Elephas maximus indicus: one gene and its partner. Each later gene encodes a partner of the first gene's protein in a complex. Links are inferred from orthologs where the notes say so. Each region holds a gene or a part of one and is shown in the gene's direction. Other genes may lie near its edges.

Region 1 (9,566 bases):
GGTGTATCACAGAGAACCTGCTAATGATATATATTTTTACAATTCTTCTCTTAGGAATCATTTATCATCTCCACCTTTCAGGTTTACTCATTCAACAACAGGGCTAAATCTTCTAAAACCTTTTGCCCTGTCTTCTGTACTTCGCACAATACTCCATGCACTAGAAAGGCTTGTTTCATTTCTTGCTGAGTACAACTTATGAATGATACATTGAATGTTTGAACAAGACTCTTTAAAGCATAGTGATTCATGCAACCTGGCACTATTATGGAGTAGTAAAACGTAATCCCAAACATCTCCTGAATGTGTTCTTCCTCTCTAAGCCTTATATCATGGCTCTTAGCTAATGTCTTCATTTCTAACCTGTACTACTGCAACACTTCCTGAACCTCCAGTTTTGCCCCTCCCTACGTTGCTGCCCAAGTCAGTTTTTGAAAATCTGTTTAAAATATCTCAGTTACTTCCCATCACCTACACCAGGGTTTCTTACACTTCAAACACTTAACCAGTTTAGGGATTTTGACATATCCACATACCTACCTGTACATTGGATATGTGATATAGTTTTTTAAACAAAATCACATTTTTTACTTAAATAAAAAATGTAGCATTGTCCCAATCAATCCTGTTAGCAAAATGACAACTTTGATTGGCAGATATTTTTCTAAAATATATTAATACATAACTACTTAAATTAAAATATGGGCCACTTAAAATCATCTTGTATAACATCAGTGGGGCACATACTACCCTGCAAAAGGCACAGAACTACAGCACAAAAGCTCACTCCTTGGACATCACACAATCTAGTCTTCACTTCCTTTTCAGTCTTGGTCTCTGTCCCTCTCTTACATGTTTCCCCAACTCTGCTGAACCAACTGCAGTTCTCCAGCCTTGCTGTGATATTTTATGGCTTTACATATGACTTTATCTTTACACATGGTATTCCTTCTACCCTGTTTTCTAAACCATCTCCTCATTTTTCCCTGCCATTCCTCCCCTCCCCACATGGAAGGACAGGCTCTCCTCTGTATTTCACATCCCTCCTTTCTTGCCTCCAACAGAGTACTCGCCACTCCCTTTCCTTTCCAAGAGATTGAATTTAGTCAACACTGTACCCTCAGCAGAGCCCTGGTGGCACAGTGGTTAAGGGCTCAGCTGCTAACCAAAAGGTCAGCAGTTTGAATCCATCGGCCACTCCTCGGAAACTCTATAGGGCAATGCTACTCTGTCCTATAGGGCCACTATGAGTCGGAACCAACTGACGGGAACAGGTTTGGTACCCTCAGCACTGTAAGAAAAAATTAAGGAAGCCTGAAATGCAGTGGGTATTCTAACTGGCTCATACAACTGGGTTATCTTCACCTTTCATTGTCTTTGACTAGGCTATGTACAACTGTGAAGAGACAGAAGTTAACTGGTAGGAAACTGACAGTAATGTAAATAAGTCTTGTTTATAAATAAATAACTTGTGTTTAGTAAAAGTCTGATTGACTTCCCTCCTCCACTGTGGGAGAAGCCAGTTTTGCATCTTTTAAAAAAAAAAGACCCATTGCAGTCGAGTCCATTCCAACTCATAGCAACCATACAGGACAGCGTAGAACTGCCCCATAGTGTTTCCAAGGAGCATGTGGTAGATTCAAACTGCTGACCTTTTGGTTAGCAGCTGTAGCTCTTAACCACTACACCACTAGGGTTTCCCTGCATCTATTAAGCAGATTCATTTCAGCATCCTTGATGGGCTTATATATTTATCTGGTCTTTGGATTCTCCTTTGAACTGGTTGTAACACTTGTCTGACACCTTCTTTAATTAAAGGGCTAAATAAAATCTTTGACGCGTGTCCATTATATATTCATTGATAATTACAATTTTACCTTTTAAAATACTTATCCTTTAAGAGTATTTGGCACAGAGCCTGGCACAAGGTAGGCACCCAATAAATATTGTTAAATGAATGAATGAATTTAAACAAGTAAATGTAGTCTTTGTAATGTAATCGAGTACTTAGGCCTGTATCATCATGAAGGAAGGGTGTGGAATACTCATGTTACACTCGGTTGTTCCAAGGTTGAAATCAAAATCCCCCTAATCCTTTGGGACATAGCAGTGAGGTGGGTTGCAGTGGATGTGGAGAGCCTTGTATCTGGCTGAGTCAGAGAGGTCACATTGGGCATGGGATAAGAGACGGGAGACAATGATGCCATTTAGGTCACATAACTCCTTTCAATCCATTGTGCACAAATCTAAGGACCTGCAGCATTTCTCCTGCGCTGAGTCTTTTAAATCCTGACCAGATAATGAAATAATACGATGTTTTGGCATTTTCCATTTGCGTACCGTCCATAGTCGAATTGCGTAAAAAACAAAAATAATCTATGAGTCAGTTTCCAGATCTGTAAGAGTTTGGAAGATTACATCAATGGATTTTCAAAGAATGGAACAATGCATGAAGTTCCTACAAATTGTCTGGATTCTCAAAGTCTAACGTCACTTTCCATGAATGAGGAAAAATTCCTGAGAATATTATCCATAGACATGCATAAACTTTTAAGTAGCACTTAAAAGCCACATCTCCACCCTCGATTCTCCTCCTACCTTTATATAATGGTCGAGATTGAAAAGGAAGCTGAATTACTGCTTATTATGTTGTTCCAAGAGAGATTTGTTCCCAGAATTCATGTGGCAATTTTGAGAGTACTTGCAAAGAGTTAACGTGCTTGGCTGCTGAGCAAAAGGTTAGAGGATCAAGTCCACCCAGAGGTGCCTCAGAAGAAAGGCCTGGCGATGTTTCTGAAAGGCCACAGCCTTGACAACCCTCTGCAGCACAGTCATACTCTGACACACATGGAGTCGCATGGATGGGCAGCTAAGAGCAGCAAGAGAAAGGGTGAAGTAGCAAGGAAGTACCTTATCAAATTAGGAAGGATATTTTCAGAGTAAGTAATACACTAAAACCTGTGAAAGCCAGAACCTGTGTAAGGCAGAAACCTGCCAGAGAAGGAAAACTCAAATATTTTCCACTAAAAGGAGCGATAGAAAAGTGGTATGACTACACTCTGTCAAAGGTGTGATGTTTTTGAGACCTGAAAAAACAAGCCAGTCCCACTGAGTTCCAGGTCTTACAGGTTTCCCCTTACACGTACCCATTTCAACCCATACGCACATGAGAAGCTGCATCAGCAACATCTCACAAGGGTTGCCATTCTTGTTGGTAGGCACCGTTGAGTTAGCTCCGGCTCATGGAGACCTTATGTACAACGCAACACTGCCGGGTCCTGCACCGTCCTCATGATCGTGGTTATGCTTGAACCCATTGTTGCAGCTGCTATGTCAATCCGTCTCATTGAGGGTCTTCATCTTTTTCGGTGACCCTCTACTTTACTGAGCATGTCCTTCTCCAGGGACTGGTCCCTCCTGATCACATATCTCGCATATAAACCAAAACCAAACCTGCTGCTGACATGTTGATTCCAACTCATAGCGACCCTACAGGACAGAGTAGAACTGCCCCATAGGGTTTCTAAGGAGTAGCTGGTGGATTCAAACTGCCGACCTTTTTGTTAGAGGCAGAACGCTTAACCACTGGTGCCCCCAGGGCTCCATCTTGCACATAGTAGACTTAAAAAAAAAAAAAAGTTTGTTGAATCTAAATATTAAAAGGTAGCATTCCAATAATGACTAGAAGATTTGACTTCCGTAAGTGGCACGTGCAGGCTACCAGAAAATATTTGTTGAATGACTGAGGGCAAAACAGGAGGGTACTAGAAGTTATTGGGAAAGGTTTGCCAAATCAAGCTGAGTATGAAACAAGCCTTTGTATTTGTAATGTAAATATAATTGCTAAAAAAAAATTGAGTACCTACTACGTGCCAAGAAACCCTGGTGATGTAGTGGTTAAGAGCTATGGCTGCTAACCAAAAGATTGGCAGTTCAAATGCACCAGGTGCTCCTTGGAAACCCTATGGGGCAGTTTTACTCTGTCCTATAGGGTCACTAGGAAACCTTGGTGGTGTAGTGGTTAAGTGCTACGGCTGCTAACCAATAGGTCGGCAGTTCAAATCTGCCAGGCGCTCCGTGGAAACTCTACAGGGCAGTTCTACTCTGTCCTGTAGCGTCGCTATGAGTTGGAACTGACTCCATGGCACTGGGTTTGGTTTTGATATAGGGTCACTATGAGTTGGAATTGACTTGATGGCAACAGGCATTTTTTTTTTTTTTTTTGGTTTTACTATGTGCCAGGCACTTAGTAAATGAGGCAGGTACTTAAGCAACTTACTGAAGGTCATAAAACTAGAACCCAGCACATCTTTTTGGATCCAAAGGTCAGGCTCATTGCCATTATACTGTATTCTGAACTTGTCAAGAGACTGCATGTTGTCCGACAATGCAGTGGAGGCCATATGGAACAAATACCTGGCCAACAGGAAGTGAAAATTTGGGTCCAAGTTTTTGCTACAGAGAAACCCTGATTCCTAGGGTGATTAAAAAGTTAGTGGCACCAGAAGCTGAGCCAGGAAGCTTTGTGTTTGGGAGGTGCCTGGCTGGTCACACTTCTTAAGTCATTTGCATGCTTTTGTCCCAAACTTCCCTGGTTTTCAGTAGGATAATGAATATTGTTAAGACTAGAAGAGAGTTCAAATGTAGTCCCTGTTTATTACTCCATGTATTCTATTCTGGGTCACTCCAGGAAGAGGAACCATATACGTTCGTTGCCTGCTTTGATTCTGAAGGCTGCAGGTGGTAATCTGACGTCGGGAAAACCAAACGATCTTGTGCTGATAACAATCGTTTTCAGGATCTGATCAGGTTCGAATCCATCACTACCCTGTTTTACGAAAAAAAAAAAAAAAAGTCCATGCACTGATTTCGGCCAACTCTAATGTAAACGTTTGGATTTCTACCACTACTTCCCCTTAGCAATGCGATACCACATCCAGTTCTACGAGGAAGCCTACACTGAGGTTGCCCGATGCGAGCGCTGGGGGAGTCGCTGGGCACACGCAAGTCACGGGGTCAACTGCGAGCGACCCTGGAGCAGCTGCGGGGCCGGCGATGGGGAACCGCGTGCTCCCCTCTTCGGTGAATGACTTCTCGGCGTGAAGCAATCTTCCTCCCACCGTCTCGGGAAGCCCCGACACCGCAGGCTTCCTCGCCACAGTGGAGCCGCCGAGGCGTAGATCCTCCACCGCCTCCTCCTCCAGCTGCAATTACCCGACCCTTCCTGTATAACGAGGACGCCACCTCCCAGATTTGAAGCGCGCGCCACCATGAAGCCCGAGACTACGCGGGAGGCGGTGGAAGGTGTCGGCCGCACGCACGCGCAGAGGTGGTCCGGCCCCGCCCCCAAGGCCCGGCCCAGGCCCCGCCCCTAGGCTCGCCCAGCGGGGTCGGACCGCGGGATACCCTCCGAACCGGTCTCAATGGGGCGGAGAACGGAGCTTCCCGGTCCGAGGGCTCCGGCCCCGCCCAGGCCCCGCCTCCCTGGGCCCCGCCCCCTAGCCCCGCCCCCCCTAGGTCCCGCCCCTCGGCGCGCTCAGCGCGGCCGGCCGGCCGGGCGCCCAGACAAACCTGTCTTAGCAGGGAGGGGAGCTGAGCTTCCTCCTACCAGCACGGTGTTGCCGCCCCATTTGTCCTTCCGCCCGTGCCTCCGCGACTGCGGGGCGAGCGACGGGGAAAGCAGAAGGTGCGCTGAAGCCGAGGCCCGCGGCCCGGCCGGCGCAGAGTCGCCGGCGCGGGACATGTCGCTCTGGGGGGAGCCGCTGCAGGCCCCGCCACCCTCGGCCTCACACCCGCCCCCGACCGCGCCCGCAGGGCCGCCGCCACCCCCTCCGGCCAGCGCGACCCTCAACCGCCTACGGGAGCCGCTGCTGCGGAGACTCAGCGAGACCTTGGACCGGGCGCCGGAAGGCCGGGGCTGGAGGAGGCTGGCTGAGGTGGCGGGGAGTCGGGGGCGCCTCCGGCTCAGGTGAGGCGGCGTGGGCCGGGGGCGCTGTGGGGGAGGGGAGGTAACAGGGCGGGGTCGGCGTCACGTGGGCGCGGAGGGGTCCTGGGGCGATCGACTTGAGACTGCAAAGTGGAAGCAGTGACACTGCTGTGCCCGCGGCTGGAAACCCGTCGGGGACCAACCAAGTTGGGGGACCGCTGGTGGGGAAGGATGTGGGGAGGGCTTAAGTCATCGTTTAGAGAGAGCCTCCTGGACCTAGGAAGGTCCTGGGAATGCGAGAGTTTGGAGGCTGTGGAATGGAGATGTTTCCCACCCTTTTCCTGCCCTCCCTTGATCTGAAAGAGGGACGTGGAGGGCCAATAAGAGGATACAGAGAAGGAAAGCTAGTTATGATATGGCAGTTGGCAATTCCAGACGACTTAAGATACAAAAGAAAGGGATATTGACGCGCACCTAGAAGACCTAAGGAAGGTTGGGAGGGAGACGGAGACGTGCAGCTAGAGAGGTAATGAAAGCAGAGGATTTGAGGCACAAGAATCCATGGGTTTTATGTAGGTAGAGAAGAATGGTGGGAAAGACTGAAACGGAGTTCTCTTCTTGTCTTCTCCGTGAACATTATAAGTAAAGCTGTTTTCCTTGTTACCCGGTTTGGAACCACTGTACTAGGGATTCTTGAACTTTTTGGCGTCGGGACGCCTTTACTCTTTTAAGGATTATTGAGATTTGCCAAAGGGTTTTTGTTTATGTGGGTTATGTATTACATATAATGTATATTGACGTTTACCATATTAAAAATTAAAACTAAGACTTTTAAAAATATTTGTTTAACAATCATACTAACCCTACATCTTAACAGAAATAACGTTTTTTGTGACAACACAGACTTTTGTAAAACGAACCAAAAAAATTAGAGGAGTGGATTTATTTTACATTTTGAAATGCTCACTAATGTCTTGGCTTAATCGCAGACAGCTGGATTCTTTCTGTCCGCTTTTGCATTGAGTTTGTTGCAGTGTCACAGGTCTCTCCTGAAAGAATGAATGAAAAAGGTAAATAATGTCTTAGTATTACTATGAAAAGTCATTTTGGCCTTGCAGACCCCCTGGAAGGGTCTCAAGAACCCCAATAAGCATTCTCAGACCATGCTTTGAGAACTACTACAATATACATTATTCTGATTTTGGTCTATCTTTTAACTCCTTACCAGTTTTTTTAAATTCTCATATGACTAAATGTTATCTTGTACTATAATTTGTACATATCTTTGTAAACTCCTTGAGAGCAGGCACCATCTTTTAATATTCTTTTAGTTATTCATAGAACCTTTTTTTTTTATTGTACTTTAGATGAAGGTTTACAGAGCAAATTACTTTCTCATTAAGCAATTAATACACATATTGTTTTGTGACATCGGTTGCCAACCCCACGACACGTTAACACTCTCCCCTTCTCAGCGTTGGGTTCTCCATTACCAGTTTTCCTGTCCCCTTCTGCCTTCTCCTCCTTCCCCCTGGGCTGATATGCCCATTTAGTCTCATTTGTTTTTTGGGCCTGTCTCATCTTTGGCTGAAAGGTGAACCTCAGGAGTGACTTCAGTACAGAGTTAAAAGGGAGTCTGGAGGGCCATACTCTTGGGGTTTCTCCAGTCTCTGTCAGACCAGTAAGTCTGGTCTTGTCTTTTTTTTTTTTTTTTTTTAATGAGTTAGAATTTTGTTCTACATTTTTCTCCAGCTCTGTCCCGGACCCTCTATTGTGATGTCTGTCCAAGCCGTCAATGGTGGTAGCTGAGCACCATCTAGTTGTGCTGGACACAGTCTAGTGGAGGCTGTAGTATTTGTGGTCCATTAGTCCTTTGGACTAATCTTTCCCTTGTGTCTTTAGTTTTCTTCATTCTCTCTTGCTCCAGATGGGGTGAGACTAGTGGAGTATTACAAGCTTTTAAGACCCAGATGCTACTCACCAAAGTAGGATATAGAACATTTTCTTTCGAAACTGTGTTATGCCAGTTGAACTAAGTGTTCCCTGAGACCATGGCCCCCAGCCCTCAGCCCAGTAATTTGGTCCCTCGGGGAGTTTGGATATGTTTATGGAGCTTCCATGACCTGCATAGAACCTGTCTTAATAGTCAATAAATATTTGTTGAATTGAGAGGGGGAATCATTCATTCAAAGTTACACTTACTTGCCTATTATTTGCCAGAAGTTTGAGAAGATAAAAAAATGACATCTATTTAGCTCCTAGTCACAAGGGCTTAACTGATAATGGACATTATTCTAGGACATTCACAAATAACATGTTAAATGTTATGTAGTAAAGATGTGTAATAATAACAGCAGTAATTTTTTTTTGTCATTTATTGAGCACTTAGCTTATACCAGACAATGTACTGTTTCCATGCATCATTTACGTTAATCCTCACAACAACACAGTTTTCCGAGAAAATGAGGTTAAGGCAAAGAGAAATGATGATTTAGGATTATTTGCATGTAAAGATGAGAGAAACAAGAAGTGGTAAACTTGCAAAATTTGAGCAGGCAGCATTTTTTCTGCTCTAGGGAAAACATCATTGAGCTTTTCAGCGAGCAAAGAAAATCCAAAATGGTATTTTTCTAGGTTCGTAAATTTCCAAATGTGTAAACTTTGGGGGTCTGAAGTTTGGAGAGTTTGGGATCATTTAGTTCATACACCTTTTGGGGTCAGAGAAGATCCACGTAGTCTGAGGCCTAGAGTGAGCAGAAAGAATTAAACTTAGATAAAAAGTTAGCATTGGGAGAAGGGCAGCTATGATAGCAGAGGATGCTAATGGTACTTTTCTCTAGTATCAGACGTAGGGATTGTCCTGTGTAAATCCAGCCCAAATGGATAAAAAGTCCCATGAGGATATAAATTGTTTCCATCAGTGGTCCTAGATTCACAGGCCAAAAATCTCCAAAGGTTTCTTTTTTCTTCTCTCTCTTCCACTTTTTTCCAGACTCTTTACATCTTTCCTCAAACCAGAAAAGAATTTAATTTTAAAAAGAAGGAAAAAACCATCAGAAAATAGAGTCCTTTTAGAACCACTCATCAGGCATTAGGAATAATTTTAAATATTTTCAGATGGTTATTGATGTGTACCATCTGCCCTTAATACGTGCCCAGACCTAATTCTGTACCAGACTGGTCTACTATTGAATACCCTTTCCTATCAGTGTGGAGATAGGCAGGCACTGGTTTTCGGTGTCTTGCTCAGCCTGTGTAAATTCCATAGTGGCAGGGTACATCTGGGCCCTACAGAAAAACAATCTGCCACTGCATACCTGCTGTTTGGAAGGTGCTCTTAGCTGCAGAAATCCCACCCTTGAGCATCTTATAACATGCTATAGGAATGAGAACATTTAAAAAGCTTTAAGAAAAGGTCTCCTCCCCGTGTCTTCAGTCTCTGAATGTTGGCATGCCTTGGGCTAAGTCATTGTGTCTCTCTGTACAGGTCTTTCACCTCATCTTCTTCGTGTCATCCTTCAGTTTCATGGCTTCCCATGTATTTAGGCTGATTACGACCATTTATACCTCTAGCCCAGAACTCTGCCTGAACTCCCAGATTCATGTATGCAGATGCCCATTTGCTGTCTCCTCTTGAATG
Region 2 (8,635 bases), on another chromosome or scaffold:
AAAATTATTTGCTTTGATAAGTTACGAATCTCCTCCTTCATGAGGTATGGTTATGGTGAAACCATTCATTCCCACATGCAAATTGTTATATCCTCAACCAATGCAATCTTTTTGGAGAAAACCTGTGGAAATACATCATGAAAAGCCATAAAATATTCACTTCCTTGGGCTGAGAATATTCCCTGAGCTATTCTCTGCTCCTGTGAATTTATGCAAATGAAATGCTAATTAAAAAGAAGAAAGTATAGAGAATATGTGGTAAAAAAAATATTTTTGGACAAATTTTTTTTCTTTTCACGTATTTCGTTTGGGTCAAGAAAAGAATATGTAGGAGAGGGATAATTATTTTAACATAAACAGTAAAATGAATGAAAGTGGAAAGTTTGCCTATATTAAAGTAAGTTAAATTCATGTATCTTCATATAATTAAATCATGTAAGTAAGAACTAACAGTTTTAAATACATTTCCATTGTTTTACTGGGGACTTACTCTAAACTTAAATGCAAGTGAACAAAAGCATTAGGAATATACAACATTTAGGCTGCTTCTCTGGGGTTATTACCTATCAAAACAGCTCAGTGAGCAGTTACACACCTGTGATGGCTAAGACTGTGTGTCACCTTGGCTGCGTCATGATTGTCTCAGTGTTTATATGTGATCACTTCCATGATGGGATCTGCTATGAGTAGCCAATCAGTTAAAAGGGAGTGTCCTTGGGTGTGTGGCCTGCATCCGAATATAAGCATACGTTCTGGTTTTTGCCTGCTCTGGGTCCTGCAGCTGGCTCCAGTTCATCTGAGCTCCAGTTTTTGGGACTTGAGCTAGCAGGTTATCTCCTGAGATTCAGCAGTCTTCACAGACTGTGAGCAAGAGCCCTGCTCTCCAACCTGCCGACCTTGGGTTCACCAGCCCCTGCAGCTAAATGAATGAGGACAAGCCTCTATCCTGATCCACAGACTTGGAATGTTCCAGTCTCTACAACCACATGAACCGTTTCTTTGATATAAATCTCTCTCTCTATATATTTATATGTTTACCGGTTTTGCTTCTCTAGAGAACCCAGCCTAAGACACTACCAATAAAATAGTCTGACATGTCCTCCAAATTTAACATAGTAGGAACTTTTCGAGTAAATCGTTACATTTTGTTTCTTTTGTTTGTGACTATGCTTTTAAAGATGTGTTTAACTGTCACATTAAGGAAAAAAAAGTTCATATACAATACAAAAAAAAAGAAAATACCACCCTAAACCCCACAACACACGGAACCAAGTATATATGGTCAGAGATTCCATAAATTATTTGAAGATGCATTTTCTTTCCTACAAATTTTTAGTATCTAAAATGCGCTTTTGAGAGGCCACCGGTCAATACACACACGCTTAAAATAAACCATAGTATTCTATTAGTAAGAACTCCTATAGTAAGGGCGATTCAAATTGTATTTAGCAAATTAGTAACTTAAATGCTTCAACAAAGTATAGACAGTGCATCTTCTCACTTCTCACCTTCATACGGTATTTTCTTTTTTGGGTGTTCATACCTTTTAAGATATAAAAACAGCCAAATATTTAAGCAATATGCACATTTAAATTTTTTGGTGGTGGTTTGTACTTTAAAAGAAACAGCTGCCTCGAGGTCTGGCGGAAACAATTTCAGGAACTAGCACGTAACAAAAACCAAGAGAAAAATTAGAAGCACATTCAAAATACTGATTTACTTTGGTAGGAAATGGTTGTTCTTTGAAGACAAGTGAAGGTAGACAAGACCCATTAAGGTGAAGTGAGCCATTACAAAAATTCAACATTTTACATAAAATTTCAAAAAAAGGCTACTTTTAAAGAGCTAAGCATTTGTATCTACTGATAGCAAGGCAAAAACTGCTTTATGACTTGAAACAAAACAAATGCCCATGAGAAAAACAGCTGTATTTAATTTTATCTAAATTTATTTTCAGTCAATAGTCCAGTAACATTTTTCTTCCCAATATGATACTCCCTTTCTATAAGGCTGTTCCCAGGAGCCATACAGGTCATATAATGGGGGAGTTAAGCTAGAGGGTAGTTGCTGGCATTTTGAACCAGTTTAAATAGACAGGAACTTTTGCTTCCCTCTCAATGTACTGATAGTTGTGTTTAAAAAAAATATGCAAATCTTAAAAAGGTATCATTTCTGATTTATTATCTGTAACATTTGGAAACTAATCATATGAAACTACAAAATTAGCAAATGTCTTGAAATCTGTATATAAAACATAAATTACCTCTAATTTCAAACTCTCATTTAATATATCAATCTTAAAAAAAAAAAAAAAGTGGCTCCAAAGATAGTTTTATACCATTCTTTAAAAAAGGAAACTGTTCATTTTAACTTTACACCCACCCCACACCCCAATCACAAAACACATCATTTTATTGTATTGGTCATGGACATTTCCAAGAAGAGATTTTATATTTCACTCCCATAGCTTCTGGTTATCCGAAAACCCATGCTTTCCTTTGTTGAAGGAGTTTGGTCCTGCTGATGTTGGTGTATCCATTCCAATTTTCTTCATCCTCAACTTTGCTTCTGGAGGCATTTCCTCTGGTTCACTACCTTCGTCTTCATTAAAAGCTGCTGCTATTGAAAGGTTTTTGGAGCAAGAGTTGGAACTGTTTCTTAAGGCTTACTTGATCCAAGTTTGATGGATATGGCTGATGCTTTCTTTGTCATCTGACTACCTATGGCAAATCCAAACTTGGAGATCTTTGTAGGCTTTGTTTGGGAAATCTCCAGCTTCTTCTTCAGCTGATTGTTTCTCAGCGCTGTGACCCGAAATTTCCCCTCCATTACTCTGACGGCTCCAGCTCGTTGCGGATTCTCCCGCTTCTCCTCTCCCACCTTCCCGTCTGCCTGGACAAATTTTTTATAGCAATGATAATTTGGGACCAGCATTAAGGTAACAATGGGGAAGTGTATACCATTGCTCCCACTCTGATCACGACACCCTCATGTTTGCCTGGATCACTGCAGGAGCATTTAGCTTGTCTCTCTGCTTCTGTCCTTGATCCTACAGTCTACTCAGCAGGCAGACTGATCCTTTCAGAATGAAATCAAGTCACTTCCCACCTTCTTTTCAGAATGTTCTCGCCATTCACACTGCTACCACACTGGTCTGAGCCACCACCTTATGGGACCTGGGTTATGGCAATAGGCCTTAACTGGCCTCCCTTCTTCCACCTTCCACTTGATTAGCACAACAGTGAAAGTGTTCCTTTTCAAATCCTCTGCTCAGAGCCCTCCAGTGGCTTCTCGTCTGACTCAGAGTAAACGCATATGACTCAGAGCAAAGTCAGAGTAAATTCTCACAAAGCCATATAGGGACCTCACCTCCTTCTCTGCACCCCTAACTCACTCCATCCCAGCCACAATGGAGCCTCTTCCTTGGCTGTTCACTCTACTCATAAGGTTTTCTCCAGATGCCCAAATGGCTTACTCTTTCATGTCGTAAATCAAATCTCACGGTCTCAGTGAGGTCTTCATTGACCACCCTATTTTAAATTTTACCCTCCCACTCCATACAGCCTTTTCCTGATTCTCTGCTTTATTTTTTCTCTTAGCACTCGTCATCTAATATTCTAAAGGAGCAGTGGTAGCACAGTGGTTAAGTGCTGGGCTTCTAACCAAAAGGTTGGCTGCTCAATCCCACCAGCTGCTCCATGGGAAAAAGATGTGGCAGTCTGCTTCTGTAAAGATTCCAAACCAAAACCAAACCCATTGCCATGGAGTTGATTCTGACTCATACCAACCCTATAGAACTGCCCCATACGATTTCCTAGGCTGTAATCTTTACAGAAGCAGACTGCCACATCTTTCTCCTATGGAGTGGCTGGTGAATTTGAACCACCCACCCAAGCACATTTACTGCACTACCTAAGGACTCTGTTGCTTTGTATAAACCTCTGTTATTAGAACACCATTCTGGGAATAGTTGTCCTGGACTATTAGAGCAGAATAGGACAGAGACTGAGGGGGGAAATCAGTATCCCCCAATAAAATGGGAGAACTCTTACAGAAGGAGATGCCTGGAATATATTAGTAAGGACTCAATAAATGTTTGAGTAATAGAAGATAATACTAATAAATTGAGTGCTTATGTGTGCAAGGTACATCTAAGAGCCTTACTTATACCCAGGGCTTTGAACCGGTTCTTCACTGCTCAATCATGGCAGAAGGCGGCACATGGGAACAGACCAAATTCTTAAAAATTGGGTAAACCAAAATGGGAAAAATTACAAATTTAAGCCCTGCTAGAAACTTAATCTCCCTCTTAAGAAAACAGGGGCAGCATATGTGTTGCACAGCAACCACATCTCTTGCCCTTCAGATTTTTGCGCAGTCATAATAGTGCTGCCCCGCTCAAAGATGGCAGCCAACCACACTGCCTTGAACTGTGTGTCGCTCTCTTCAGTCCTAGTAATAACTCCATTTCACACATTATGCTCCTGAAAGGGCTCACTACACCTCTACCAAGTGTCCCATTCCAGGGCTTTGACCCATAATTCTTCCCATTGTGGTTATGGTTCCGAATCACTCAAAATTTAAAAATTCAAGTCTGTTCCCATTTTGCTTCATTAGCCATGACAGAACCAGTTAGAACCAGTTTGAAGCCTTTCCTATATCATTTAATTCTCACAGCAGCCCTATGAGGCAGGTATATCTCCGTTCAACAGATTAATCTACGAAGAAAAATGTTTATGAATAGCGACTAAAAAAGTATGTCAACGTTAAATTGCGTGTTTAAGTGGCGGGACTGCAGATGGTGGTTTTTCTCTTTCAAATATTTAATATTGCATTTACGCTGTGTGTGTGTATGTTGCCAGGTAATTAAAAAACTTAGGCGGGCAAACCCAGCAACCGGAAATTGTTATGACGGAGTCTGGGAAAAGGGGAGGTACCCAAAAGTACAGCCGACACTGCACCGGACTCCTGCAAAACTGGCAGTTCGTGAAGGTGCGGCATGCCGGTCGGCTGAGCAGCGATGTGCTCCACCCCCGGAAACGATTCCTTATAGGAAGGCCAACCCGCGGCCACATGCAAACGACCTGCGGAGGCGTGGTCTGAGGTGACGCCTGTTGAAGGCGGAGCTACTATTGAAAGGCTCCAGCCAGGGGGCGGGAACAGGAGTGGTCCGCAGCCTGCGACTGATTGGCTGCAGCGGTAACGGGGCGGGCTCTACCGAAGGACCAGCCTCACCGAGGTGCCTGCGCTGAAGCCTCCCAGAGAGCAAAGGAACTCGGCTCCCACCTTGGCGTTGCGACGCGTTGGAGTCTGAAGCGCCGTCGGCCTCAGAGGCGGAGCCGGAAAGCGCTACGTTCGACCCCCGAGCCGCTTTGTTTTCGAAGAGGGGAGCCCTTCCTCATCCGCTCTGCGTCCCTTTCTTTCCCCCCGACCCGGAGGCCAAATCCCCCAGGCTGGGCGGGGTGGCGCGGCCCAAGCTCCAGACCCGGAAGAAACGCCATCTCCTGCCTTTGCTATGGAGTCCACCGCGCCGTCCCTCACCGAGGAGGACCTGACTGAAGTGAAGAAGGACGTGAGTAGCACCACCTTGTCCAGCCGCTGCCGGGGGTGGGCGGGGGCGGGTTGTGACCCCTCGGGAGAGGGAAACGGAAACCCAAGTCCGAGAACGAGGTGGAGCCTCCGGGTTGGAGGAGCGGAAAGTCTGATCACTGGAGGACCGCGCCGAGGCTTGCATCCGAGGGACTTTGGTGAACGTGATCCCTCGGGAGCTGTTAATCTACTTTTAAAAATCACTAAACACGGGACTTGAGTTTCTCAAACTTTGTTCGGGGGAGCGTTTCTTCGCGGTCAGCTTCTGGCCCACTCCTCACCCATTCCCACTCAGTTATCCCCTCTTTGCACTCTTGGAGCTGCGTTGTTAGCATCGATGGCTCAGGTTCATCCCTGAGTCAGACTGAGGCTGCTCTCCCAGCCAAGAGCAAAAGCTTGACCACATAACAGATCCCAAGCAGTGGAGCGAACATGTGAAACTCTTGTAAAGGGACTGGGGGAAGCTCAACAGCTGAAAGAACAAACTGGAATTCCCCTAGTAAGCGAACGCCCACATATTTAAATTGGGGGTGGGATTGAGTACTTGCAGCTGAGAATTAATTTACAGGTAGATGTTGGAAATATTCACTAGTTAAATTATGCTCTTCTGCATCGTAGCTCCCGAATTGCACAAGCCTTAATATTGATTTATAAAGCATGGCTTTGTTGACGTATAATTTGTTTCTCTTTTTCCTTTAATTTTAGTTACTTGTTTTGCCATGTGAGACATATGAGTACCACTAAAATACTTTATATTAATTCATATGAAAAACAAACTCATCATGAAGTGTGTTTTGACTTGCCATTGCAGTACTTAAAAAATAATCTTTGGGAGTTGGAAAACACAGGAGCTTTTTTAATGTTCATCAGCTTCAACTATCTCCCTTTTCCCTTCCCTGTAGGTGTTATTACACTGTACTGGTAATTACAACTGGTATGACTCATTAACAAAAGGAAGCTGGACATTAAACTGTATGACTGGAACTCGTGCCTTAGTTTCCTCATTCAGCAGATATTTATGGAGCACTTAGGATGTGCAAAGTACTGTTTTAGCCCTGGAAGGATACAGAAATGAAGGTCAAGTTCCTGCATTACAGTCTAGTTGAGATAAGGCTGGGACACTGATGACAACTGTAGAATAAATGAGAGTCCTGGTGGCACAGTGGTTAAGAGCTTGGTTGCTAACCACAAGGTTGGCAGTTCAAATCCACCAGCTGCTCCTTCAAAACCCTATGGGGCAGTTCTACTCTGTCCTTTAAGGTCGCTGTGAGTTGGAATTGACTCAACAGCAACGGGTATAGAATAAATGAATGTCGTCTTAGTCAAGAAAAACCTCTTCAAGAGCTAGACTTCCTATGTTCCAGATGCTGTGCCACACAATTTCCAGAGCTCCCATTTAATCTTTATAACAACCTCTAAGGGAGATAATTGTTATTCCCATTTTATACGTGATGAAACAGGCTCTAAGAGGTTACAGGTAGGAGGATATGAGACCTGTACACAAATACACATGTGAAGAGTGGCATCCAAGCTTTTGTTTTCTGTGTTCATTCATTGATGTTATCCATCTCCATTATTTCAGCTTACATCTGTATCAGAAACTCATAACCCTGGTGAAACCATGGATGGGTTTTGCAAAGTCTACGGAAAAAAATGCGTGTGTGCACATTTTTTTTTGTAGAGATTTTTTTCTGTAATATTTTTAAATGGGGTTTATGACCTTAAAAGTTTTATAATTACCATCTACATATTTGGACTTGCTTCCCTTTCACCTCTAGGCCCATATTATCAAATATCTACTGGAATCTCCTTTTATATTCTGCATATTTCTCACTTTGTCTAAAATTGGACTTTATATCATTGTTCCTCCAAAGCTGTTTGCTGTTCCTGCTGTATCCTCTGTCTTCATGAATGGCGTACCCATCCATCCTCCTGGAAACTCCCACTTGTTTCATTATACTCCCTCCACCCCAATCTAGTTGTTTACCTCATCTTTTTGGTTGAATTTAGCTCAGTTTAATAAATATGAATTACATGTTACTTGTGAGGCTCATAACATAGTTGGTTCTGACAGTTCAAAAATAAAAACCAAGACACACTCCTGTTTCGACAGAGAGTTCAGTTTCTTGGGGCAACGAAGAGAGATATAATACAACAGGTGCAATGAATTTTGCATTCATCTAAAATTCTGTCTACTTGGCACTCTGCTAGGTGCATGGTATACGGTGTTGAATAAAACATACCTGGTTCTTGTGTGTTCAAACTTATAGGTCATTAGGATTAAAAACAAATATATGTATAATTACAAATTACGATGAGTACTATGAAGGAGACAAGTGCTGAGATAATAACCAGGGAAGTGTACCTGAGATAGAATGATCAGAGAAAGTTACACTTAAAGTGATTCCTGAAGGATGTAACACTGCTGAGGGAAGAGCATTCTAGGCAGAATAGAATTTACAAAGGACCTAAAATAGGCAAGAGCTTGGTGACTTCAGCAAATTGGGAGAAGGCAGAGGGTAGCCTGAAGTGAGGTTAGGAAGGCGAGCATGAACCAAGTCATGAAGAACTTTAAAGATGATAGGTAGTAAAGGATTTGGGTTTTTCCCAAGTGTCTTAGAAACCCTGATGGCATAGTGGTTAAGTGCTAGGGCTGCTAACCAAAGGGTCAGCAGTTTGAATCCGCCAGGCGCTCCTTGAAAACTATGGGGCAGTTCTACCCTGTCCTATAGGGTCGCTATAAGTCGGATTCGACTCGACGGCACTGGGTTTGGTTTTTTTGTTTGTTTGTTTTCTTAGTTATCTAGTGCTGCTATAACAGAAGTACTACAAGTGGATGGCAAACAAGTTTGTTCTTTCACAGTCTTAAGGTAGAAGTCCAAATTCAGGGCACCAGTTCCAGGGGAAGCCTTTTTCTCTCCGTTAGCTCTGGAGGAAGGTCCTTGTCATCAGTCCAAATTCAGGGCATCAGCTCCAGGGGAAGCCTTTTTCTCTCTGTTAGCTCTGGAGGAAGGTCCTTGTCATCAGTCGTCCCCAGGACTAGAAG

What was found.
Region 2: the proteins of MALT1 (region 1) and BCL10 are in contact, whole or in part, in a cryo-EM structure (PDB 6GK2), measured with the Homo sapiens proteins. The link is inferred for Elephas maximus indicus from reciprocal best matches to the Homo sapiens genes MALT1 and BCL10. Residues at the interface, in NP_006776.1 of Homo sapiens: Asp46, Gln47, Ala48, Pro49, Trp54, Arg55, Leu74, Glu75, Ser78, Leu79, Val81, Leu82, Glu83, Pro84, Glu85, Gly86, Pro88; in NP_003912.1 of Homo sapiens: Leu13, Lys17, Val83, Arg87, Asn93, Gln97, Thr100, Leu104, Arg107, Asn108, Leu111.

Annotation. Positions count from the first base shown.
Region 1 is NC_064829.1:67,258,976-67,268,541, forward strand, and holds the start of MALT1 (mucosa-associated lymphoid tissue lymphoma translocation protein 1), read left to right. Parts: upstream 1-5,554; 5' UTR 5,555-5,741; coding exon 5,742-5,968; intron 5,969-6,893; exon of another isoform or gene 6,894-6,996; intron 6,997-9,566. UniProt on the Homo sapiens protein: Protease that enhances BCL10-induced activation: acts via formation of CBM complexes that channel adaptive and innate immune signaling downstream of CARD domain-containing proteins (CARD9, CARD11 and CARD14) to activate NF-kappa-B and MAP kinase p38 pathways which stimulate expression of genes encoding pro-inflammatory cytokines and chemokines.
Region 2 is NC_064821.1:134,720,964-134,729,598, reverse strand, and holds the start of BCL10 (B-cell lymphoma/leukemia 10), read left to right. Parts: upstream 1-5,192; 5' UTR 5,193-5,515; coding exon 5,516-5,572; intron 5,573-8,635. UniProt on the Homo sapiens protein: Plays a key role in both adaptive and innate immune signaling by bridging CARD domain-containing proteins to immune activation.